Linked DNA regions of Ovis aries. The protein of the gene in region 4 interacts with the protein of the main gene of each other region in a pairwise test. Links are inferred from orthologs where the notes say so. Each region holds a gene or a part of one and is shown on either strand. Other genes may lie near its edges. The genes, in order: EXOC7, LRRC45, IFT20, KXD1, MOB1A, C17H4orf46 and CCDC185.

Region 1 (3,500 bases), on a different chromosome or scaffold from region 4:
CAGATCCGCCTTCAAAAGAATGTCCCTGGGGCACAAAAGGAGCCTGTCCCCATTCATTGGGCAGTGACATTTCTCTAACTGGATCTCTCCCCAATACGGTGAGACTCAGCCCCTGGGGCTGAACATCAGACCTTCCGCAGCTGCCGGAAACTCTTCAGAAACCCTCTGTGGTCCTCACAGCTTTCTCAGCCTCCGGGTTTGGGGAAACTGGCTCCCAAGGGTGGTCCAGGCACTGCAAGTCAGGCTTGAAACGGCTGTTCCTGAGGTGGTCTGAGGCAGAGGAGGGGCTCAGAGCCCTCTCCAGTGCCCCCACACACACCCCATCTCATATCCGCCCGGAGACTGAGGGCTTCTTCTCAGCGCCCCCCGACCCAAGAGGCAGCCACCCCGCCCCTGGATAAACGCTGCTTGTGTTTGCGGCCAACGTCTCGCTAGGTCACGAGCATGATTTCCGAGTTAAGCACCTGTCCGAGGCCCTGAACGACAAGGCCGGGCCGCTGGCCGGTGAGTACTGCAGCCCAGCCCGCGGGCCGCCACTGCCGCACTCCCGGCCACCCCTCGGAGGGCCCGCTCCCGCCGCCCAGCCGGCCTCCGCTCCGAGGACGAGCCAGGCCTACTCGCCTCTCTCTCTCCCCGGCCTCCTTCTCTCTCTCTCTCGGGCACTAGGTCTCCCTGCCTCTCTCCAGACGGGAGTGCAGGCTGGGCTCTCGGGGCCTGGGCCGAGGGCAGAAGCTGCAGGCGGCCCCTTGGAGGGTAGGGAGCGCCCGCACCTGACTCCAGCAGCAGGCTCTGACCCCCTCAGAGCCCGTCCCTTGGCATGTAGCATCCAGTTGCCTGCGGACACCACTGCCTCAGCCTCTAGTACCGGGAGGGACCCCCTGCTCCTCCTGGGGCAGCTGACAACCAAGCAATCCTCCCTGTCTGGGGCTCACGTGGCCTGCTCTTCAACTTTAATCCCATGTCAGCTAGCCTCATAAACCAGAGCCCACTGCCTTTTTATACATTCCAGGCCTGGCCAGGCCGGTGTCTGCCTTTAGAGGCCCAGCATCTTCTGAGATGGCGCCAACCTCCTTGGGGTGGACATTGCCTCTTGCCCATCCCTGGGTGTCGTCTTCCCAGTACAGTTCAGAATCCCCTGTCTGGGGTCAGACGTGTCTTCTCCGGGAAGTAGACTGAGGGGTCTTCTTGTCCTTGAATCCTCCCCCACACCTCCCACACCTGACGCTCTGGGATAGTAATACTGCCCACAGCAGAGCTGAAAATGAAGCTCAGACCAAGGCTGGACTCAGCCCCATTTTTCCCTCCTCAAACCCTGGCAGCTCTGCTGGAGTCCTCTCAGCTTTCTGCCAGCAGTCTTCCTCCCATCTGCTGCCAATCTGGCCAGGAGCTGGAGAGATTCACGGCCCCCACCCCAGCAGGGAGAGGGGCTACCCCAGACCAGTAGCTCAGGGGCCCTGCTGTCCCCCCAGGGAGAGATGACATGCTGGACGTGGAAACCGATGCCTACATTCACTGCGCCAGTGCCTTTGTCAAGCTGGCCCAGAGCGAGTACCAGCTGCTGACGGACGTCATCCCTGAGCACCATCAGAAAAAGACCTTCGACTCTTTGATACAGGTCTGGCCCCGCCCCGCCCCAAGTGAGAGCTATCCCTGCAGAAGCTTGAGTCTGGGCCAGGTTCCTAGCCCTTAACTCCAGCCACTGCCTCCACCCCGATCCTGGGGCCTCTGAACTGGGTGATCAGAGGCACACACCTCCTCACACCCTTCCAGGTCCCCTCACTGGCCATGGGAGCCGGCTGGCTGCCCCTCCCCTGAGCCCTCCCCCTGCCCCGCTCTCTCAGGACGCCCTGGACGGGCTCATGCTAGAAGGCGAGAACATTGTGGTGGCCGCCCGCAAGGCCATCATCCGCCACGACTTCTCAGCCGTGCTCACTGTCTTCCCCATCTTGCGGCACCTCAAGCAGACCAAGCCTGAGTTTGACCAGGTGCTCCAGGTACGTGGGGGTGGGGGGGGCCCTTGGGGATGCTGCCTAGCAGGGCCTCCCAGGAGAACTGCATTCTCTGCTCAGAGTGGTGGGCAGCGGCAGCTTCCTCAGGGCCCTGGGTGGGTGGAGGCACTCTCAGGGGAATGAGGAGAAGAGACAGTCCCCGGGGCGGGGGGCTGGGAAGGAGCAGGGCTCCGGAGCCCTGTGCAGCCCTGTGGCTACATCCTCAGGGCACAGCCGCCAGCACCAAGAACAAGCTGCCCAGCCTCATCACTTCCATGGAGACTGTGGGAGCCAAAGCGCTGGAGGACTTTGCCGACAACATCAAGGTGCCCTTCCTCTGTTCACGCCACCCAGGCCGGCAGGCGGGGCTGCAGGCAGGGCCACCTGCGACCGGCCTCAGGAACTCCTGAGAGCAGGCCTCCAAGTGGGTTGGGCCTGCCCTGCAGGGAAGCCAGCCAGCCGTGCTGCTGGTCTCCTGTCAGTACCCACGGGCCTCCCTTTCTTTCCCAGAGGCCCCCACTTGAGGCATCAAGCTCCTTTAGGTCCCTCTTGCTCGTTTTTTGTGCCGGATGGGGTGTCCTGACACTTGTCTGCCAGGAGGTGGTGCTGTGGGCCCACAGACGGGTGCAAGGTTGGCTGGGGCCTCCTTAGGAGCTGTTTCAGGGACTCAGGCTGTCTGTCCCACAGAACGACCCCGACAAGGAATACAACATGCCCAAGGATGGCACCGTGCACGAGCTCACGAGCAACGTAGGTGCTGCTGGGGACTCCTGGGGCGGGCGGGGGGCGCAGGTGGCAGGATGGGCTGGAGGCGCTAAGTGCCCTCTGCAGACGGGGCCTTTCCCTGGAGGCCAGACCCACAGGGTGAAGCAGCAAGTTTGCTCCCACCCGTTTCGCCTGCCCTCACCTGTCTGGAACGGTCAGAGGGGCTGCATTGTGGGGGCTGATCCAGCCTTTGGGTCCTGCCCTTAACCTTCTTCTTGGCCCCGTTTTCTCCCCACACAGGCCATCCTCTTCCTGCAGCAGCTCCTGGACTTCCAGGAGACGGCAGGTGCCATGCTGGCCTCCCAAGGTACTTGACACCTCCCAGTGGGGCCCCCCACCCCATTCCTCCCTCCAGGCTAGAGACATGGGGTTAGCCCCTCCCCAGGGGGCACCCTCCTCTCTGGGTGAGGAGATTCCCCCCACCCTGGGTGGGTGGAAAGGAGTCGTGGCCTGTGACGGGACCTCCCTCAAGCCTCTTGGACCATCAGACCCAGCATCAGGAGAGCAGGGTCTGACCACCTGCCCCGGCCTCCGTCCCCCCGGCTCCCTCCACCGTCCTCGCCCTGGAGCGCGGACCCCACTTGTCTGAAAGTGTCTTTCGTGCCCCGCTCCCGCCTCCTCCTGCACTTCCCCACCTCCTCTTGTGTTGCCTGTCCTCCTACTTGGTCTCACACTGCTGACCCATTGAGCGGGCTCGGCTGGCATCTCAGGGCCAGCCTGGTGTCTTCCCGTGACTGGGGCTGGGAA
Region 2 (2,652 bases), on a different chromosome or scaffold from region 4:
GGGATCCCCACCCTGGGGGGCAGATGAATCTTGGGCACCCTGTTCCTTCCGAGTGGAGGCTACCCCAAGTGGCTTCGTAGGAAGCTAGGACGGAGGGCAGGTCCCAGGGCTGCACCCCAGGTGCAGCCTGCACTGTGGCTCGGGCACAGTCAGTCAGGGTCCCTTCTAGAAACCGGTGGGGAGGGTTTAGGTCTGACATCTGCCAGGACTGTCATCAGCAGTCCAAGGTTGTTGAGGGAAGCCAGGCCAGGAGTCTGCCTGGGGAACACCGTGCCCCACTGAGGTATCTGCATGCCCCGGGGTAGCGGGGAGGACGAAGCCCAGAAGACACAACTGATAAGGCACCTCCTTGAAGCGCAGATGTTCCGCGTCCTCCAAGCTCTGCCGGGACCTGTTCTTCTCCAGCTCCAGGCGTTCTGGAAGCACAGGGGAGGCGTGTGAGTGGGACTCCTCAGGGGGCCCCTGGTCCTCAGGCCCCAGCAGCAGGCTTGGCTGTGCTGACCTTCAGCCTGGATGGCCCGCATCTTCAGCTCAGCCGTCGTGTTGGTCAGCTCCGTTTTGGTCAGGAACAGCTGCTCCTGCTGAGATTTCACCTTCCGCTCCAGCTCATCCACCTGCAAAGTCGGCACGGAGGGAGGAAGCTACGTTCTGCTTTCCCGAAGCCCCACCCCAGGCTTCCCAGGGGCTGGCCCCACTCCCACCCCCACCCCATACCTGGTTTCGCAAAAGTAGGTTCTTCTCATTGGCAGCAGACAAGTCTCTGAGGAGCTTAGACTCCCGTTCTGCAGCTTCCTGGGGGTGACATGGCAAAAGGGTGTCGGTGGCCATCTGCCACCACGCACCCCCGGCCTGCCCACCCCACACCCACCCACCTGCTGCTCCAGCCTGTGCTCCTTGGCTTGCCTCTGCACCACGCTCCGCTGTTCCTGCTCTGTAGTGGCCAGGAGCTCCCCCAGGTCCTGGGCCTTCTGCTCCGACAGAGCCAGGGCGGCCTCCGTCATCTGCAGTCTGCAAGGAGGGAAGGGCCATCCCCACCCCAGCCAACCTCTAGCCTTTGCTAAGGTCATTCTTGCCAGGCCACTGCCCCTGCTAGTGCCCCTTGAGCTAGTCTAGGCTCCTCAGAGACTTGTCTGATGCCAGTGAAAAGAACTTGCTTTTGCAAAACCAGGGAAGGGGATGGTGGGGGAGTGGGACCAGGCTTCTGGGGAGCCTGGGGTGGGGCTTGGGGAAAGCGGACGAAGCTTAACCTTCCCTCCCTCAGTGCCCAGTGCCCGGCTTTGCAAGCGGATGAGTTGGAGCTCCTCCCAGAAAGCCTTCTCAGTAACTACCCTAGTGGTTTCCCTGACTTCCTTTGTGCAGTGGAACTTGAGTCCCTATTAGGATGGTCTTCCTGCCCTGTGGGCAGGTCTCTAAAGTGTTCTGAAACCTCCTCATACTCCCATCCTGCCCTCTGCCCCTCCTTACTTGGCCTTGAGGGAATTGATGATGGAGTGCCTCTCGTTCAGGGCTTCCTGAAGCTGCCCCACACGCGCAGCCGATGCCCTGTGGACAGAGAAGAGGGTCCCAGGGGCCCAAAGCCGAGTCGTCTGAGCCCCTCCCTGAAGCGGCTGCTGCCCCTCATGCTCACACAATGCCCAGGTGCGGGCTAAGGCAGTGCTCAGTGGAGCCTCGAAGCCTCCAGCCAACTCCCTCAGGAAATACAGCCCACATCCTTGTCTGTGGGGAGAGGACCAGGCTCACATGTTAGGTCACTCCAAGGCCAGAGCCAGGACTCAGACTCCCAGGTTCCCCCACTGCACTGCCGCCCTGCCCTGGACCTGGGGCCAAGCTCACTTGCTGCTCTTGGCCATCTCTTCTCTCTGTCTGTCGATCGTCTCCATCAAGTCCAGAAACTGGGGACAGAGCCAGGCAGAGCCCATCAGAGCCCAGAGCCCAGAGCCTGCTCATGCCCCACGGTTGGCAAGAAAGGAGGCCGACATTTACTGAGGCAGCAGGACACCAAGGAGCTGAGCCTCATCCAAGGAGAGGGTGGCTGCCAGACAGGGAGGCCCAGAGGGGAAGCCCACCCACCCAGCTGAAAAGCATCAGAAAAGAGGCTGCCTCGGGCCTAGGTACTGGCTTCTTGGAGAGGCTCCAGGGCTCAGAGGGAGGGAAGAAGGCCACGGCATGGGGGCTGAGGGAGCTCTGTCCACACAGCCAGGGCGGGGCGAGGCTCTGCAGTCAGAGGCAGCATTGTCCTTACCTGCTTGGACTTCTCTTCCCGGAGGTGCCGCACCTCCTTGCTGAGCACCTGGGCACGAGCCTGACTCTCCCGGAAGACAGTCTGCCGGTCCTGGTTGTGGTCCATGGCTTGCTCTGTTGGAAGCCGCACAGATCAGACCCCCCAGTGCACTAAGCAGGTGAGAGGCTCAGAGGCGGTGGGGCTAGGGGATGGGGCAACAGTGAAGCAAGGAGCAGGGGAGGCACCGGGTCGGGGGGACAGGCACGTGGAAGAGGTAAAGAGGCTGCTCAACAGTCATAAAAGGTGGGCATTTGGATTCTGCCCCAAAGCTTAAAAGCCAACATGTGATTTTTAAGAGGTGAATGTCATGCTCAGCTCCCATGTTTTGGACAGATCCAGGCAGCATTTGGAGAGGGACCGGCCAGAAGCGG
Region 3 (2,234 bases), on a different chromosome or scaffold from region 4:
TTCTTACCCCTGGCTTCGTGTGGTTTTTTTTTTTTCCCGTGTTTATTTTTAACCCTAATTTTTAATTCACTCCAATTTTCTCTTTTACTTCTTTCATGTTCCAACACTATATTTGAAAAGCTCTTTTATGTCCTTTTGGATACATAACTGGGGATAAAGAAATATGCTTATGGCTCCCAGCTTAGTTCACACATCACTCCCTCACCCCGAGTTAACTGTTCTCTTTTCCTCCAGCTCTTTAGTGATATTTCTGTGAAAGCACTTAACACAGTGTAATTTTGCAGTGTCCGTGTCTGTCTCCCTCCAGCTACACTCTGTGCTCCTCCAGGGCGGGCACCATGTTGCGCGCAGCTTTATCCCCAGCATCTAGCAGTGCTGGCATGTAGTTGGCACTCCAGGAATGTGTGTTGAATGAACGATGCCTGTGACAAGCAACTGGACTTTATTCTTTCCTGACCCTTGCTCCTATGACACACCTCTCCCTGGCTGACCCTGTCAGAGCAACTCTCTTCTCTGGGGAAGCTGGAAGGCAAACAGGTGAGGCTCAGAGAGGCGGAGGCAGAGGGAAGGGGGAGCCTTTGGAACATCTGGGCTTTTGGCCTTGGTGTCCGGGACCAGGAGTGGGGCTGGGCTGGAAGCTGGCTTCTCCTTGAGGGGCTGGGAAGTGACTGGGGACTGGGGCTGGTTTCTTTACAGCCATGGCCAAGGACATCCTGGCTGAAGCAGGGCTGCACTTTGATGAGCTGAACAAGCTGCGGGTGTTGGACCCAGAGGTTACCCAGCAGACCATAGAGCTCAAGGAAGAGTGCAAGGACTTTGTGGACAGTGAGTGTCGTCTGGGGGGACATGGTGCCACACAGCTTTGTGCCTTGCCCCCATCCCGACTGCAGCTCTGGGCCCTGTCCAAATGGAGCTGCTGTCTCCCAGGAGGTTGAACCTGGCCCTCCTGAATTCCCATGTGCCACCCACCTTGTCTGCGTGCCCTTCTATGCTCTCAGGTAGTCCCAGGACACCAATCAAACACGGTTGTGGAGACAGGAGGATGTTTGTTTAGGTAGGCCATCCCAGGAACCTTCAACTTCAGAACCATGACTTGGGGGTGGGAAACGGAGTTAGGATTTGATTTCTTGGGAGAAATAGTGTTCTCAGTGGCAGACTTTCCATTGTTTGGAGTGAGAGTTGATCACCTGGAGTTTGGAGAGGCAGTTCAAAAGACTCAGTGGTCATTTTTTTTTTTTTTTTTTTAAGCTAGTGATAGCCAGGATGCCTCCTGTCCCAGCAGCCAAACAAGCCCAGTAGCAGCAAATACAGAGCAGATGTAGCCAGTATCTGAGCCTTCTGGGGCGTCCATAGGCTCTAGAGAGAGCTTGACTGGCGGAAGGTAGTGGGTCCTCTCACACGTCTTCTGAACACTCTGTGTATGTCGTCCTACCCTCTGGGTCTTAGTTTACTCCTTGGTAACACGGGTTCCACTATACCCAGGGACACTGAACAAATGAGATTAACTCCTTAAATGCTTTGAGCTTTTTATTAGCTCTGGTCACAAGTGGAAAGCCCCCAGTCCCCATCAAGTCAAATCTAGTCTTACCTGCGGCTTGCCAGAGGCAGCGTTCATATCCTGAGGCGGTCCTTTTGTGAGGTCAGTCCTTTGTGCTTCCTGTCATTCCTAGGACAGCAGGATGCAGTCCATCCCGGAGGTGCGCCCATCAGGAGCCTCAGAGCCTGAGCTACAGCTTCTGGCTGGTTCAGTGGGGACTCAAGATCCAAATATACCCCAACCCAGCTCTGGGCTGACGGCCACCCTTCTCTAGTTTCAGATCAAGGCTGTCAGACACCAAATGGCTTTTCACACAAATTAGAAGAGGCGGTTAGCCCTGCCCTCTTGCCACAAGGAAATGCTGAGGGAGAGTGGTAAGGCTGAAAAATAAAACATTTGTTTTTGTTCTTCTTTCCACAAAAGAAATTGGCCAGTTTCAGAAGATAGTTGGTGGCTTAATTGAGCTTGTTGATCAACTTGCAAAGGAAGCAGAAAATGAGAAGATGAAGGTAAGATCAGCAAGTATTTCGTCTAACTTTCGGCCTGGTTCACTAGTCTCTCATCCTTCTGCCCCCCGCCCCCGCCCCGCCTTGGTTTTTAATCTGGTTCTTAAAGATTCTGGCTGTGCTGCGTCTCCGTTGCTGCTGTGTGGGCTGCCTAGTTGTGGCGAGCCGGGGCCGCTCTTTGCTGTGGTGAG
Region 4 (2,483 bases):
CCAGGACAGTAGCTGCCGTCCATCATGGGGGTCAGAGGGCAGGCTGAGCGCCCAGTGCCCCCTCCAGCCTGGGAGCAGGGCGTGGCAAGCGGTGAGCAGGAGGGTCCTGGCCTGTACCGGGCTCAGCCCTGTGTGCCTTCCCTTCCCCCACAGGACACTGAAAGGGAAGCTGGCCAGACAGCACCCGGAGGCCTTCAGCCGTAAGTGTCACCCAGAACTCCTGCATCCCACTTCTGGGCTCTGCACCCTTTGATGTCAGTGCCCTCAGCCCAGGGCCGGCTTCTGGAATGTACCCCAAGGGCTGACACCAGGCCCAGGCCCTGGTGGGTTGTGGGTCCAGACAGACGTGGGCAGGGGTTTGGCCTGGTCTTCTTGGCAACCTGCAGAGCAGGTGTTGAGATCAGAATCTCCTCCTTCGGCGGTTGTAACAATGGGATATTGACAAGGATGACAGTCCTCAGCCCAGTGAGTGTCATGCACCCACTATGAGGCAGGCTGTTACCCGTAGCCACCTGTGAGGTGTGGGCTGTGCCCAGAGGGGCAGTGACTTGGCAGCGGAAGCCCAGCATCGTCCATGCTGAGCCTCACTTTACCCAGTCTGCTGAATGGGCCAACATCTCCCTACTGCAGGGCTGCTGAAACCACAGGCACAAAGGCAATGCCATCATCCCCCAGTTTATAGAGCAGGGAGCTGAGGCACAGGCAGGTGAGGGGCCAGGCCCAGGTGACACAGTCAAGAGGGCAGAGCCAGGCTCAGGCTCACCGCCCAGGGCCCATGTAGGCCAGACCCCGGAGAACCTGAGTCCTTACCTCACTTCACCTTGAAGAGAAGCCTCTCACTTGCCAAGGCCTCAGTTTCCTCCTCTGTAAAATGAACAAAGTCCTGTCGTGTGGGGTGGAGGTAGCTGTCAGGGGTCATGGGCCCAATTAATCCCTCATCACAGCACCTGATGATGACGGTAACTCAGCTAACTCTCGGGTCTTCTTCCCCCAGACATCCCAGAGGCATCTCTCTTGGAGGACGAAGATGAAGACCCCATTCCGCCTAGCACCACCACCACCATCGCCACCTCAGAACAGAGCACAGGCTCCTGTGACACCAGCCCCGACACCGTCTCACCCTCCCTCAGCCCTGGCTTCGAGGACCTGTCCCACGTCCGGCCTAGTTCCCCCGCCATCAACGGTCGCAGCCATACAGATGACGAGGAGATGCTGGGCGAGTAGCCCCGCTCCCAGGAGCTCCGAGGGGGGTCTCAGGGTGGCAGCAGCGTCATTCCCCAGATGTCTCAAGTGGCAGCGGAGAACCCTGCCTGGAGATACTCAGCTTTGCCACCCTAGTCTGTCATTTAGGGCTCGCCGAGGGGACAAGGCTCCCTCCCTCTAGGCTCCCTCCCTAGAATTCCTGGGGGTATTTCATTCCTGCTCCTTCGTCACTGAGAACATCTCTTCTGTAGATCCCTCTATCAGACTGGGGATGACCAGTCCACCTGGAGCTGGGCTGGGCACAGGGAGCTTTTCCAGAGTCAGGCCTTAGGTCTACTCTGAACAACACTCCAAGCTTCCCAGAGACCAGAGCCAGCTGCCCCCTGCCCCAGCCCCCTGGTCAGAACCCCCTCAAGACAGCCAAGCACCGTCACGTCCGAGTCCACCCAGCCCACCCCTGCGCCTACTGATTCTGGTCTTCTTGCCCCTTCCTCCAATGAAAGTACTGAATCCTTTCTCCAATCATTATCTCAAGGAGGTTTCTGAAACAGTTGTAGAAGGCTCAAGACAGAGATTAGCCATCCACTCAGCCCCAAGCCTGGTCGGGCCCTGTTTCTCTGACCAGAGGTGTAGACCTCTAGGGCCTAACAAGCCTCTCCTAGGGCCTTTGTGGAGCAAGCCGAGCAACCTTGGAGAACAAAGTGGAATATTTTTGTACCCGATGTTTACAGATGCTGTTGGGAAGTTATCAATAAAGAGACTCTGTTACTAAAAAGGGGAGGGTGCATCTAGCAGTGACTTCTTTCCATCCTTGGGCCCAGCATCCCAAATCAGGGACAGGTGCTGCGTGTGGGACAGGCTGGTTATGGATCGCCAGGCACCACCAGCCTAGAAAGAAATGTGGCTGCTTTGGGTGGGCGTCCCGAGTGGTGACAACCATAATGACCCCACTTCCTATCCCCACAGAGGCCTTCCCACTGCTCACATTTCCCTACTTCCTTGAATAATTTCTCTAAATCTCAGCCTCAAAGTGGGCTCCTCAGGGAGCTAGACGGGGTCCCATTCCCCATCAGACACTGTCACAGAGTCCCCTCATCTTTGAAGCACTTTCCATTGTTATTAAAGGTCTCTTCCCAGACCTCAGCGTGTCTGCATTTGCCTGGTCCATAGGGGGCGCCGGGAAGTGGTCAATGAAGTAAGGTACCCTGAGCAATGACTCCACTGTAAAGAAGCCCCCTACAGTGCAGACGGTTCGATCCCTGGGTCAGGAAGATCCCTTG
Region 5 (4,282 bases), on a different chromosome or scaffold from region 4:
GGCAATAATAAAAAAAATACATAATAGCAAATGTTATCAATGATGTGGAAATATCAGAATCTTTGGATATTTGCCAGTGGGAATGTAAAACGGTGCAGCTAACGTGGAGTACAGTCTGTCAGTTACCCCAAAGGTTAAACATACAGTTATCTGTTTCTGCATGACACAGCCGCTCCCAGGCATATACCCAAGAGAAAGGAACACATTCATCCACACAAAAACTGTAGCAAGAGTATTCATTATAGCCAAACAGTGGAAACAACCCAAATGTGCATCAATAGATGAATGGATTAAAAAAATATAGTATATTCATGCAATGGAATAGTGTTCATTTATAAAAAGAATAAAGTACTGATACATACTACAATGTGAATTAAACTTAAAAACATTATGGTAATTGAATGAAGGCAGTCACAAAACAACCACATATTGTATGATTCCACTTATATGAAATATTCAGATTAGGCAAAGTCATATAAAAAGAAAGTAGATCAGCTGTGCCTGGTCTTAAGAAGAGGGAGGCACAGGGGGCAACTGCTAATGGGTACCTGTTTTGGGGGGGACGTATTGGGGAAAAAAAAACCTAGGACAAGATAGGGGTTGAAGGACTCTGAATACTCTGTGATAAAAAACACAAAAGTGTACTTTTTAGAAGCGTGAATTTGGGGCTTCCCTGGTGGCTCAGCGGTAAAGACTCCACCTGTCAATGCAGGAGACACAGGTTCCATCTCTGACCCTGACCCAGGAAGATTCCCATATGCTGAGAAGCAACCAAGCCTGTGTGCCACAACTATTCCGCTGTGTTCTAGAGCCCAGGAACCACAACTACTGGGCCCAGGTGCTGCAACTACTGGAGCTGGTATGCCCCAGAGGCTATGCTCCCTCCACAACAAGAAAAGCCACCACAGAGAGCAGCCTGTGCATCACAACTAGAGAGGAGGCCCTGCTTGTCACAACTAGAGAAAACTGGTGCTCAGCAACGAAGCTGCAACACAGCCAAGAAATGATAAAATAAATAAAATTACTCAAAAATAGATAAAGAGTGAATTTTAAATCTCAACTTAAAAATCAAATTAAAATTCAAAACACTTTTTTTAGGGAATGAAGACTCAGGGCTTTCTACGCCTTGAGCCCAGGTTCCATCCCTGGTCAAAGAACCAAGATTCCACAAACTTCACACCACAATGGAAAAAAAAAAAAATTAAGGTTTCTGCGCTCACAAAGGCCTCTTGCCACCTAGGGAGACAGGAGGCACACAACAGCGACAATCAGAACCAAGCGCAAGGTCAGCCATTCTTCCAGGCCAAGGACCGTGAACCCACCACGACTTCCGGAGCGGAAACCCGACCTTAGAGGCCCCTGATTGGCTGAGGTGAAGGAGCGGGCGGTGCAAAAGGGGGTTTGTAGATACGCTCTAGAGGTGGGGGGCGGCGCCTAGATGGGGGAACGAAACCTTAGATCGCGAGATTTTGCTGGTTCCGCATTTTGGGTCTGGAAGGTGGGGGAGGAGTACTAGGCGGGCTCAGTTGCTCACACCCGCTCGTACCGTCTCTGCCTCGGTTCCACCCGGGCTTGGAGCTGTGGCGGCGCCGGCTTCGGCTGTCCGCCGGCTTCGGACCTTCTGCTCCTTCCCGGTTCCGCGCGGACTCCGAGTCCTGACCGCGGCGGGGGCCAGCGGCCCCTCCCCTCCGAGGACAGAAGATGAGCTTCCTCTTGTGAGTGTGGCGGGGGCTCCAGGGCTGAGTGAGGGCCGGAAGGGGCGATGGGGCGCCTGAGGCGAGGGCAGCCCCCCGGGCCGGGGTAGGGGTGCCAGGTGCTTGCTCTCCTAGCGCTCGGAGTCTTGGGGGAGTCTAGAATGTGGGCAGAAGCCGACGGAGATGAAGGTCGAGGCAAAGGAAGCGGAGCGAGAAGGTTGGGGTGTAGAAAGGCCCCGAGGCCGGTAGCGCCTCGAAACTTTTCCGCTCGAGTGCACCTGAGGGCAGAGAAAAGATCCGGGGCTCCCAATTTCTCTCAAGTCCCCAGCCTTTTAGAAACGATGCATGCTGACTAAGCTTTTTATTCCACCGTACGCCAGCTTTATTATCGTCAGGATTAAATTTCCCCCGCGGAAAAATGCCGCCCCTGGAAAATGTGGGAGTGTCTCTAAAGTTAAGCTGCGGCCTTTACAAACAGTTCTGATTCAGCCCACTTTGTGAATTTGTGTAATTAACTAACATCTTTTCAACTCAGTAGAATCCTGTTTTAGAGATAGCTGTTGGACCCAAATGAGCCTTCAAGTGGGAAAAGTTTGTAAATTCTCTGATGATTCTTAAGCACATTAACGTTTGGGAAACATTGCTGTAACACCTTTTTTTCCTCGAGTGGCCCTCTCTACCTAGTGTATTGCTTAAATATCTATTGTATGAGCGAATCCATTTTTAGTTATGGGCATCACCCACATACTTGATATCTAAGTGTATCATAACCAGAGTTCACCCCGTTTCTTATTGTGAGAAATTTGGATTCTTTTTTAGTATTTTGCTATTGTAAAATACGATTACAAAGCTTTGACTAACAATCGCTTTTCCCCTTTGGATTATTTTTTAAGCGAATAGCCTTCAAAGTGTGATTACCATGTCAAAAAATCTATGTGACCTATATTTTAATTGAAAGTTTCCTTATTACCAGAACAACCCCCGCCCCATAACCAGTCTTTTTTTCTTATGTTAATGTTTAGTTGGTGGTTTGTTTGTGGATGCACAGTTCTTATTTGTTTTTTGGACCTAAATATGGCTCTGTTTATTTCTTTTAAACTTTATTTTGTTGATAGACAATTGAGTTTGCGCTTTTTGGCTGTTATGAATAATGATGCTGTAAAACTTGTGTATAGATTTTTGTTTTGGATGTATGTGTTAATTCTTTTGAAAATTTCCCCACAGCCTCTCTAGCACTTGTTAATTGAATTTTTGATTATAGCACATCCTAAGTGGATGTGAAATGGTATCTCATTGTGATTTTAGTTTGTTTTTCCTTAGTGATTAATGATGTTGAGCACCTTTTTGTGTGCTTATTGGCAATTTGTGTATATTCTTTCAAGTAATATCTATTCAAACACTTCGACCATTTTTTTAATTGGCTTGTCTTTGGTTTTAAGTTGTAAAAATTCTTTATCCTGGGTATGTCCCTTAATCACATGAGTTTTACAAAATTTTCTCCGATTTTGTAGATTCTTTTCACTGTCTTGATGGTGCCATTTGAAGCACAGACGTCTTCATTTACATGAAGATCATACAGAACCTTGAGACATCTTTTCTTGCTAGTTTTCCATATTTAGCTTCCTGTCATTCAGCTTGTTTTTATTGTAAAGGGCCATTCCCTCTAATGTAATACTTCCCTATTAAATTTAGCTCTTTATTATGTTAAACACAAGCTTCCCATGTTAGATTTTTATTGTTTTCATAACTCCTTTTTACTTAACAATCAGTCTTATTTAAAATTCAGATTACTCAGGTAAAGTGAAAGTCCTCAGTCTTGTTTCCTTCACTTCCTGGAAGTAATCACGAGTATCAGTTTGATGGGTGGCATTTTCCATGCATTTACAAAATAGACTTCTGCTGCACCTTTCATATTGTAATATGTGTGACCGTGTATTGAAATCTGTGTGAATTCATGTAGCTCTGTCTTGTTCCTCTTAATTGCCGTGTGGTATCCATGATACAGATGTGTCATGCCCATTTCTCCACTAGTAAGCTTTAGGATTGTTTCCAGGTTTTTCACTATTAAAAACAATCTTGGAAAACACATCCTTATCGAGGACAGATGCCTAGAAGCAGAAGGGACGGATTGAGGAGCATTTCACATCTGTTCATTTGTCACTGTTTTTCTTTCTGAATTATATAATCATCTCTTTAGCCCATTTTTCTAAAGCCTTTTCTTAACCAATTATAAAAGCCCTTTATTATGTAGTTCATACTTTGTAATATGTGTTACAAGTCCTTTTTTTTCCTGAATTATGGAAGTTTTAATTGTTGTAGTTAGAAATCTGTCCATTTTTTTCTGAGCTTTGTGTCATATTAGGAAGACCTTATGAATGGTGTGAGAGAGGAATAAAAGCTTGCTTTTCCCCTCCAAAACCTGTTGTTTATTTTCCCTGCCATAAATTCCAAATGTTGGTGATTCTTCTTTAGTTTGCTTTAATGGCACCACAGTATTTTGATACAGAAAACTGGATTTTTAAGCTTTAAGAGCCTTAGAACTGCCACTCTCACAGCACTGCTTTCTGTAGATGAAAACAGGCCAAAAG
Region 6 (4,213 bases), on a different chromosome or scaffold from region 4:
TCTACAGAGCTGTCCCTCAGAGCTATCTTAAGAGGCTGTCTCCTAAGCGCTCCCTGTGCCTGCTGAGTAAAACACAATCCTCAACCTTTTAGGTTGTGCATTTTTTTTCAGTCAACAGTATTTACACATTAGGTGTCATAAAACATGCACCATAACAGAAACTTTAAATTCCAATTATTTAATACATGGTGGACAAATCTGACAAAATTCTACTTTTTTGAAATTTACACAATACCCGTGAATTTGCAATATGTACACTTGTTTATTCTAGAACCAAAATTTAAATAAACTACAGAAAAAATTAAGTCAGTCTTGAGAGATATCTTGGAGTAAACTTTTTTTTAACTGTTTTTAAGGAAAACAAACAAAAACCGTCCAATGACATCATTCTACTTTTTTTCTAAGGTGAAAGGGGAGGTAATGAGGTATTTTACCAAATCATCATGATGGTTTTAGGGCAACCATAACACGATACGCTGTAGAGTCAATTTTAGACAACACAGAAAAATTCCCGGCTCCAGAGATAACCTGATGACTTGGGTACCATATAAATGTCAACGTGACAGAACAGAGTTCAAATTCTTAAGAAAGGAGTAGGACGGCTGCAAGACGCAAGTCAGGAGAGGACCAAGGAGAAAATCTGTGTAATAGCTAATTTACCCATTTTCCAACAAGGCTGTTGCAAGTCTAGGACAACATCTGGGCTTTGGGAGGAGGGTCAGCACCAGGGTTCGGGGAAGATTCCGCTCGGGAGCCGCGTTGACAAGTTTCCTCCGCCCGTGACCTCTGCCCTAGTTGTCAACTTTTTCAACAGGGACAAGCCCGGGGAGGAAACCAGGATCCACCTGGCGCTGATCGCGCGCCCTTGCCCGAGTTCTTCCCTAGCGAGGCGAGCCCGGACTGCCCCGCGACCTTGCTCTGTCAACCCGCGCCCGCAGACCCCGCTCACCCGGGCAGGCCAATCTGGCCAGCAGCACCTGCATGTTCACAGCAGACAGACAGGACGCTGGCCGACGCCGGGGAGGAGGTTGGGCTTGGCTCGTACGGGCGCGGGACCTCTAAACCACTGGGGGCGCCATCGCCGGCCGAGACGCAAGCAGTCACCACCTGCCTGCTCCGCGGAACGCTCCAGCTTCACCACGCTCCCGCCTGTCTTGCTATGCGCGGGCGCCCCGAGTGACGCGACGCGACGCCCGCAGCGTTTCCGGGTCACGGACCGAAGGGGCACGGGAAGGGACTCAAAGTCCCAGCGCCGCCCGCGGCTGCAGGCTGCACGGCCTCTCACCCGGCGTGCGCTGAGAGCGCCGGAATGGTTGGGGAGTGGGGGGCGGGGGGACCACAAATCCCAGGATGAATCGCGCGCAGAGCCCCAAGACTGTGAGGCGTAGCGGCGCGCACGGCACCTTGGGAGCTGTGGTCTTCTGTTCCGGCGTCTGGGAACCCGTTGGGAGGTTTTCCCCCGGAGCGGAGAGTAGCCTCAGGCGAACTCATTGGCATCTGATTGGCTGTCCCGAGAAAGTGACACGGCTTCGCGGTCCCCGGCGGAGAGCCGAGAGGAGGCGGGCCCGCTGGGCTTTGGGCGCGAGCGGTTGAAAGACGGTTGGTATTGGTTCGGCCTCCCAAGTCCGGTCCAGTCGCCCAGCCGCGCTCCATGGCGAACCCTGAAGGGCTGCAGGTTTCCCCGCCGCCGCCGCCCCCTTCTTCTCCTTCTTCTCCAGACACGTCTTCAGCATCTTCCCCCGGCGCCCCAGGGGGTTTGGGCTGGCCTGTTCCGAGCAGGAGCAGCGGCCGACTGGTGGACCCGCTGGAAGAGGTGGAGCTGCAGATCGGAGACGTGAGTGCGGCCGGCGGGTCCGGGCCGTGTCCCGCACGTATTCAAGAGCCGCGTCGGGAGTCCAGGGCATCCCTCTCCCGCCGCGCCCGCGCGGGGTCTTTGTGCCTGGAGGTCTGGTTCCGCTCTCGCGGTGTAACCCGAAACGGCGCAGTTCACAAACCCACCGCCCTGCCTCGTCTGCGGGGCTGAGGGCCAGACAGGGATTCCTCTGCTGGGACTTGATCCGTCTCCCTCCCCCTCGCCCTGTTTAGTTGGCCGCCTGCCCAGAGCCTGCTGGGTAGGCGATGATTATTCTGAGCGGACCCAGTTAGGATGGGTTAGTCCCCGCCCCGTGGTCCAGATTGCTACCCCTAACAATACAAAGACCCGTCCCTCTGATGGCCGGGATTCCTGGTCTGGACGGCTTCTGTTGAGTCTCCAGTTAGTAGACGCGCGCGTACACTCACAGCCACCCAGCTACACAGTCGGGTTTCTCGATTTAAGGTCAAGTGAATGAAGTCTGTAGGGTGTCGTCTTAACCGGGAGATCCTCCTGTGCAGGTTGCAAACCGCGGGGTGAACTCCTTTATTCTCTCATTCCTCAGCAAGTATTTGTTGTTTTAAAAAGATGGCTGAAATGCTGACACAGCTTCATCTTTGCTGAACCAGGCTGTTCCAAATGAGCGTGTAGAATGCAGTGCTGATATGTTTGTTACCCAGGAACAGTGTTATTTTATACGGTGGGTGAAGAAAGCATTTGATCAAGAAATGAGTTTTCCACCAAGGTTGCAGTGTTTTCTGCATGGGTGTTGTTTTTGTTGGTGTTAATTGTGAGCTCAGAGTGTCTGTTCTTTGGTTCATACGGTTTCATGGTCTGCAGTGTTAAACAGATGAAAATAGCGGAGCAAGTCGCTCCCTCCCATCAGTAAGAGCTGTATCATAAGTCCTTCAAATACTTCTTGGTGTCAACGGGCTCAAGTCGTCTTGTTGAGCTAAATGAGACTAGTGTATTATCACCCGAAAAAGATGCTGACTGGTCATGTCTCATACATAATGTATATCTTTCTAGTAGACAGATGTCCTCAAAGCTTACTTAATGTAGACAATTTTTTTAGGTTCCACTAAAGAGCTGGCATGTCGTAGTTTGAAGATTTTTAACTTTTTAAAGAAAAGAACTTGGGCATTGGATTCTAAGCTATTTTCAGCCAGGTTCATAAAATAGGGAGAGAATTTTAAAAATAAACATATAGTTTTACTTTTTTTTTTTTTTTTTTAATTTTCAGGCAGCATTTTCATTAACCAAACTTCTGGAAGCCACATCTGCAGTATCAGCTCAAGTGGAAGAGCTTGCCTTCAAATGTACAGAAAATGCACGTTTCCTTAAAACATGGCGGGACCTCTTGAAAGAAGGCTATGATTCCTTGAAGCCTGATGACTGACTTGACTGTAATAATGCATACCTCCTCATCTATGATGTTTGCGCATGTACCATGGAGACTGGATGATCGCACGGTTCTGGATACTTAAAGATGAAAATTTTCTTGGTTTTCTTCATTTTGTGAAAACAGAATGCTGATGTTATTTTTGAGGCTGATTCATATTTTTTTATCTTTAAACACTTTCTGTTCTCTGAACTTTCAAAGACTCTTTTATGAAAGTTAATCAGTAGGTAATAATGCCACAGTGTTGCCAGTAGCAAACGAGGTGAACCATTATGCTCTTCTATTTGCAAGAAGATGCCAAGAAGAGCAGAATTTGAAATTGAGCTTTATTTATGGCCCAAAGAAAGTAAACTTTCATGTTACCAATGTTAGATTTAGCTCCACTGGGCTAAGTTCCCTAGAACCAATGATTGTGTCTTAGTTGCTTACATATTTCCAGCAACCTAAAACACTGTTACACAACAGTCACTAAATGTTTGTTAAATAAGAGTTGACAGCATAATTAAAAGCTGCTTTTTCTTTTAACTTTAGCGTAAAGATGTTAATTGTTTCTTGAAAAAGTATTTGAGTCAGAACTTCACTGACTTTAAGGAAAATGTTATCTTTCTTTTTTTTAACAGGAATTTGAACTTTGATAACTTTTAAAAACACATGATAAATATTTTTCACCCCTCTGTGATGCTTTTCAAAAAAACTTTTACTGAAGCCTGTCTTGAAAAAATACGTATTTTTTTCCCCTCTATTTCTGAGGTTAACTGCTTTTATGGATATTTCTTATATTCACTGTTTTGTATGTTTAATTGTTCTCCTTAAAGTGCCTTATCAAAATTATGGCTTTGTAGTATTACTTTTGGAGCTTGGCAGGTAATAATTTTAAATTCTGAGTGTAATAATTCCAAACAAGTACTTTAAAAAAATGCATCAAATTTAAATGATGTAATTGTTTTCATATTATTTGA
Region 7 (3,704 bases), on a different chromosome or scaffold from region 4:
GATTAAAAATGTTTTATTTTTTTGTGTATGTTTTGTATGTATTATTTGTGTGAAATGTATTATAAACCTACCACCTTACAGTACTATATAGCTGACTGTGTTAGTTGGGTACCTAGGCTAACCTTGTTGGACTCATGACAAACTGGATTTAGGAATACACTATTGGAATGGAACATGTTCATATGTAAAAATCTTACAATGTATTAAATGTATTTTCTGTATTAAATCTTACAATTTGTAGCTGAAGGCTAGAAGGACATCAAAATGATATTAATTGACTGTATTAAGGTGCTAGGCTCTTGAGGCATAGTTTCATCTACCTTATGGCAGCCCTACAGTGGTATTGTCATGGCCCCTCTTCCAGTCATCTGTTCCAGAACTTGAGGGTCAGGAAAGTTATCAACTTGGCCAAGACCACACAAGTGGAAAGTGGCAGAGGAGAGTCAAGCTCAAGTCTACATGACCAAATCTAGTGCTCTTCCCATGAGCTCTGAATGCCTCAACCCGAAAAAGTCATCTCATAAAACTGGAGAAAAAGGAAAACAATAAAGTGATTTGCCATGGTGTCCACCAATGCTATTTCAGAAATATGCACCTAACATTCCTATTTTGACAAAAGCAGTAATTGCTGTATTAGGAGGAAACAAACTATTGTGTTTTGTTTTCTGTCCTCTAAAAGTTTAAAAAACTATCCTTGAGCATGCTAAGTTATAAGGGCAAAAGGATGGTGCATATAAATTAACGAGCCTCGACTTTGCCTACACTGCAGAGGTGCACTGTGGTAGGGACCTGTGACTAAAGGACTCCCCACCCCACACTTCCAGGCCACATTCTATCCTTTTAAAATTCTGCTAGTTTAAGATGTACAAATGCGAGTTCAAATTCCTGCCTGCAACACAGGTGGGGGTTCACTACGCACCCTCATCTTTAGGGTGCCCCGAACTTTCTACAGCCCCCTCTACCATACGCCCTCTCCCAGGCTCCAGCCGCCTTCCCGCCTCTCGCTGCGCGGGGTGCTAGGAAGGCCAAGGTGGGCGAGGGCTGAGGGCTGCAGCAGCCAGGTGGCGCCGGGAGCATTGTGAAGTGGCCTGAGCGTCACAGGCGGCCAGGACCCCGGGATCGGAGGGCGGGGCGGGTCTCAGCAGCGCCCCCGCCGAGACCCGGGACCCGGATTCAGACGCTGGGCGTGCAGGAAGGAGAATGGAGGACTTCGGCCGCTTCTCCCCGCGGCCCCACTCGGCCCTGTGGGAGCCTCCGCCGCCCAGCGAGGAGAGCGCATCCTTGGCTCAGCTGGACGGGTCGGGACCGCGGACCGAATCGGGCCTGTGCTCCTGGGCCCGGACACCAGGCGAGGAGAGCGAGGCCACCGCGCCCTGGCCTCACCTGCTCTGCTCAGCCACCCCTCGGCCCAGCCGGCGCCCGTACTCCGACTCGCCGCAAGAAAGTCGCAGCCTGACCGACGTGACCCGGAGATTACTAGACCGTGTCAGGAAGCCCCGACCCCGCAGCCGGCGCCTGGAGGATGTCTGGGGGGAGACAAGGACCAAGCCCCAGGAGCAGGGAGGCAGCCGGCACAGCCCGGCCTGGCAGCTGGAGCCCCAGCCTCAGCACGGCCAGCACTACCCTCCCGCCCGGGGAGATTCGCCCCCTCCTTACCCGCAGGGAGCTTACACTCCCGCGAACCGAGCCTTTGAGGACGAAAAGGCGCAGAGCGGAGACCAGTGGGCAGTGCCGGTCGGCAGGGGTCTACGTCCCTGGTCCCTTTCCTCAGTCCACACGGAGAAGTCTTCTGTGTCCTCCAGAGAGTTTGGGACGCAGTCGGGTTGCCTGCACATCCAGAAAAGACACAGCAACGATCCGGTGGAGTCATTAACCAGCCAGCTTTCCCAGTCCCTAGTTTCCAGCAAGGAGATGCAGAAGCAGCACACCCAGGTCCTCAAGAACAAGTTGGAAGAGGCAGTAATATCCTCCAGGGACCAGAAGATCGTGGCCCTGGTGCTGAGCCGGCTCAAAAAGGCCCAGAGGATGCGGGAGCTGCAGCAGCAGGCGGCCCTGGCCTGGGAGGAGCTGAAGCGCTCCGACCAGAAGGTCCAGTTGACCCTGGAGAGGGAGCGCAAGCTGCTACTGCAGCAGAGCCAGGAGCAGTGGCAGCAGGACAAGGGGCAGCGCAAGGCTCGTCTGAACCGGGAGCTGCGAGTCCGGCGGCGGGACAGACGAGCCACCAGCACGGTCCAGCAGGAGAGCAGCGGGTGGAAGGCACCGCTGGAGGACCAGGAGAAGCAGCGCCAGGAGAAGCTGGAGGGGGCCCCCTCCGAACCCGAGGCGGAGCCGGAGAAGCAGTGCCAGGGGCAACGCCTGCCAGAGAGGATGCTGCGGGACCTGCAGGTGCGAAACAGCCTGCAGCTACAGAAGAGGCTGGCGCAGGCATGTCTAAAGAAGCACGTTCACCCCACCAAGGGCCAGAAAAAGATCCAGGAGACCAGTCTCAGCTCTTTAGTCAATTACCAGGCCAGGAAGGTCCTCATGGACTGCCAGGCCAAGGCTGAGGAGCTCCTCAGGAAGCTGTCCCTGGAACAGAGCTCCCGATGGTCCCAAGAGATGCCCGAGGGCCAGATGAAGGAGCCCCACAGAGAGCTGAAGGACAGAGTCCAGAAGGAGGAGGAGCGGTTCCAGCAGGTGAAGAGGTGGGCTGAAGAGTCCCAGGAGCAGAGAGAGGAGCATAAGTCGCTGCTGGAGGAGCTGGCGGACCAGAAGATCCTGCAGACCCGGAGTCAGGTCCACAAGAACGTCAGGGACAAGGCGCACCACATTCGGGAGCTCAACATCCTACGGGAGAAGAATCATCACATCCTGAAACTGAAAGCCGAGAAGGAGGAAAGATGCCACATCGAGGGCATCAAGGAAGCCATTCGGAGACAGGAGCAGAGGATGGAGCAGATCTTGCGAGAGAAAGACGCAACCTTCGAGGAATTCCAGAAGATCTCCAGGGCCTCCAGGACAGATGACGTGAGAACACTTGCCAACAACTTCTTTGATCGGATGACCCGGGAGGCCCAGGTCCCAGCCGGGCAGCAGAGAGGGGGCTACTGAGAACCTGATGACAAACAGCTTCCAGCCTAGGTGGCTAGACAGAGATCTGGCAATGTGATTCATTTTCTAATTTGATTATGACTGAGCATTGATTTTTAAAAAGCATATAAAATAGCAGCAACTTTCTCTCACGAACTAGTTTGTTGATTCATTGGGATGGTTGAGAGGGTGGGATAAACATTTCCAAGTTTTAAGAAAATTACTTGCCTTTGTACATTTGGCTTTAAATAGAAAATACTCATTTGCCTCTCAGGTAATCTCAGAAGCGTATGAATGTCAGACACATTTTGAGGAACCAAAGAAAAAGTCTACAGTGGGGAATAGAGTTCTGTGCCATGGCTTCAGTCTTTCCCTGTCCCAGAACTTATGAAAGGGTGAAGTGTGAAGTACTTGTCATAGGAAATCTCCAAGAACAAAAAGTGAGGTGGGGAAGCATGGGGGGAATTCCTGTCAATAAGTATATTGGAGAACACAGCATACTACATCCCCTCTTGGGAGTTCATAACACAGCTGAAAATTTTAAAGGCTCTGAAAAGTCTTGCAGTAAAGACACATTTGATTAACCTAGAGTTTTTCACAAACCATGGAACTTTTTTTTCTCTTGGATCCTTCCA

What was found.
Region 1: the proteins of KXD1 (region 4) and EXOC7 interact in binary tests that used the Homo sapiens proteins (3 or more experiments, as listed by UniProt). The two-hybrid records come from large-scale screens. The link is inferred for Ovis aries from reciprocal best matches to the Homo sapiens genes KXD1 and EXOC7.
Region 2: the proteins of KXD1 (region 4) and LRRC45 interact in binary tests that used the Homo sapiens proteins (3 or more experiments, as listed by UniProt). The two-hybrid records come from large-scale screens. The link is inferred for Ovis aries from reciprocal best matches to the Homo sapiens genes KXD1 and LRRC45.
Region 3: the proteins of KXD1 (region 4) and IFT20 interact in binary tests that used the Homo sapiens proteins (3 or more experiments, as listed by UniProt). The two-hybrid records come from large-scale screens. The link is inferred for Ovis aries from reciprocal best matches to the Homo sapiens genes KXD1 and IFT20.
Region 5: the proteins of KXD1 (region 4) and MOB1A interact in binary tests that used the Homo sapiens proteins (3 or more experiments, as listed by UniProt). The two-hybrid records come from large-scale screens. The link is inferred for Ovis aries from reciprocal best matches to the Homo sapiens genes KXD1 and MOB1A.
Region 6: the proteins of KXD1 (region 4) and C17H4orf46 interact in binary tests that used the Homo sapiens proteins (3 or more experiments, as listed by UniProt). The two-hybrid records come from large-scale screens. The link is inferred for Ovis aries from reciprocal best matches to the Homo sapiens genes KXD1 and C4orf46.
Region 7: the proteins of KXD1 (region 4) and CCDC185 interact in a two-hybrid assay, tested with the Homo sapiens proteins (2 studies listed by BioGRID and IntAct). The two-hybrid records come from large-scale screens. The link is inferred for Ovis aries from reciprocal best matches to the Homo sapiens genes KXD1 and CCDC185.

What each region holds. Positions count from the first base shown.
Region 1 is NC_056064.1:54,916,416-54,919,915, forward strand, and holds part of EXOC7 (exocyst complex component 7), read left to right. Parts: intron 1-435; coding exon 436-504; intron 505-1,469; coding exon 1,470-1,615; intron 1,616-1,841; coding exon 1,842-1,994; intron 1,995-2,215; coding exon 2,216-2,314; intron 2,315-2,675; coding exon 2,676-2,738; intron 2,739-2,993; coding exon 2,994-3,060; intron 3,061-3,500. UniProt on the Homo sapiens protein: Component of the exocyst complex involved in the docking of exocytic vesicles with fusion sites on the plasma membrane.
Region 2 is NC_056064.1:50,381,679-50,384,330, forward strand, and holds part of LRRC45 (leucine-rich repeat-containing protein 45), read right to left. Parts: intron 2,356-2,652; coding exon 2,243-2,355; intron 1,893-2,242; coding exon 1,834-1,892; intron 1,543-1,833; coding exon 1,465-1,542; intron 1,009-1,464; coding exon 873-1,008; intron 793-872; coding exon 715-792; intron 615-714; coding exon 503-614; intron 417-502; coding exon 346-416; intron 1-345. UniProt on the Homo sapiens protein: Component of the proteinaceous fiber-like linker between two centrioles, required for centrosome cohesion.
Region 3 is NC_056064.1:19,760,491-19,762,724, reverse strand, and holds part of IFT20 (intraflagellar transport protein 20 homolog), read left to right. Parts: intron 1-307; 5' UTR 308-467; coding exon 468-537; exon of another isoform or gene 538-696; coding exon 697-825; exon of another isoform or gene 826-1,960; coding exon 1,961-2,046; exon of another isoform or gene 2,047-2,234. UniProt on the Homo sapiens protein: Part of intraflagellar transport (IFT) particles involved in ciliary process assembly. May play a role in the trafficking of ciliary membrane proteins from the Golgi complex to the cilium.
Region 4 is NC_056058.1:4,427,555-4,430,037, reverse strand, and holds the end of KXD1 (kxDL motif-containing protein 1), read left to right. Parts: intron 1-153; coding exon 154-200; intron 201-994; coding exon 995-1,224; 3' UTR 1,225-1,983; downstream 1,984-2,483.
Region 5 is NC_056056.1:96,002,872-96,007,153, reverse strand, and holds the start of MOB1A (MOB kinase activator 1A), read left to right. Parts: upstream 1-1,482; 5' UTR 1,483-1,701; coding exon 1,702-1,715; intron 1,716-4,282. UniProt on the Homo sapiens protein: Activator of LATS1/2 in the Hippo signaling pathway which plays a pivotal role in organ size control and tumor suppression by restricting proliferation and promoting apoptosis.
Region 6 is NC_056070.1:40,564,080-40,568,292, forward strand, and holds the start of C17H4orf46 (renal cancer differentiation gene 1 protein), read left to right. Parts: upstream 1-1,413; 5' UTR 1,414-1,651; coding exon 1,652-1,834; intron 1,835-3,095; coding exon 3,096-3,251; 3' UTR 3,252-4,213. Other genes in the region: ETFDH (electron transfer flavoprotein-ubiquinone oxidoreductase, mitochondrial), read right to left, coding at 950-983.
Region 7 is NC_056065.1:26,077,260-26,080,963, forward strand, and holds CCDC185 (coiled-coil domain-containing protein 185), read left to right. Parts: upstream 1-1,141; 5' UTR 1,142-1,200; coding exon 1,201-3,090; 3' UTR 3,091-3,204; downstream 3,205-3,704.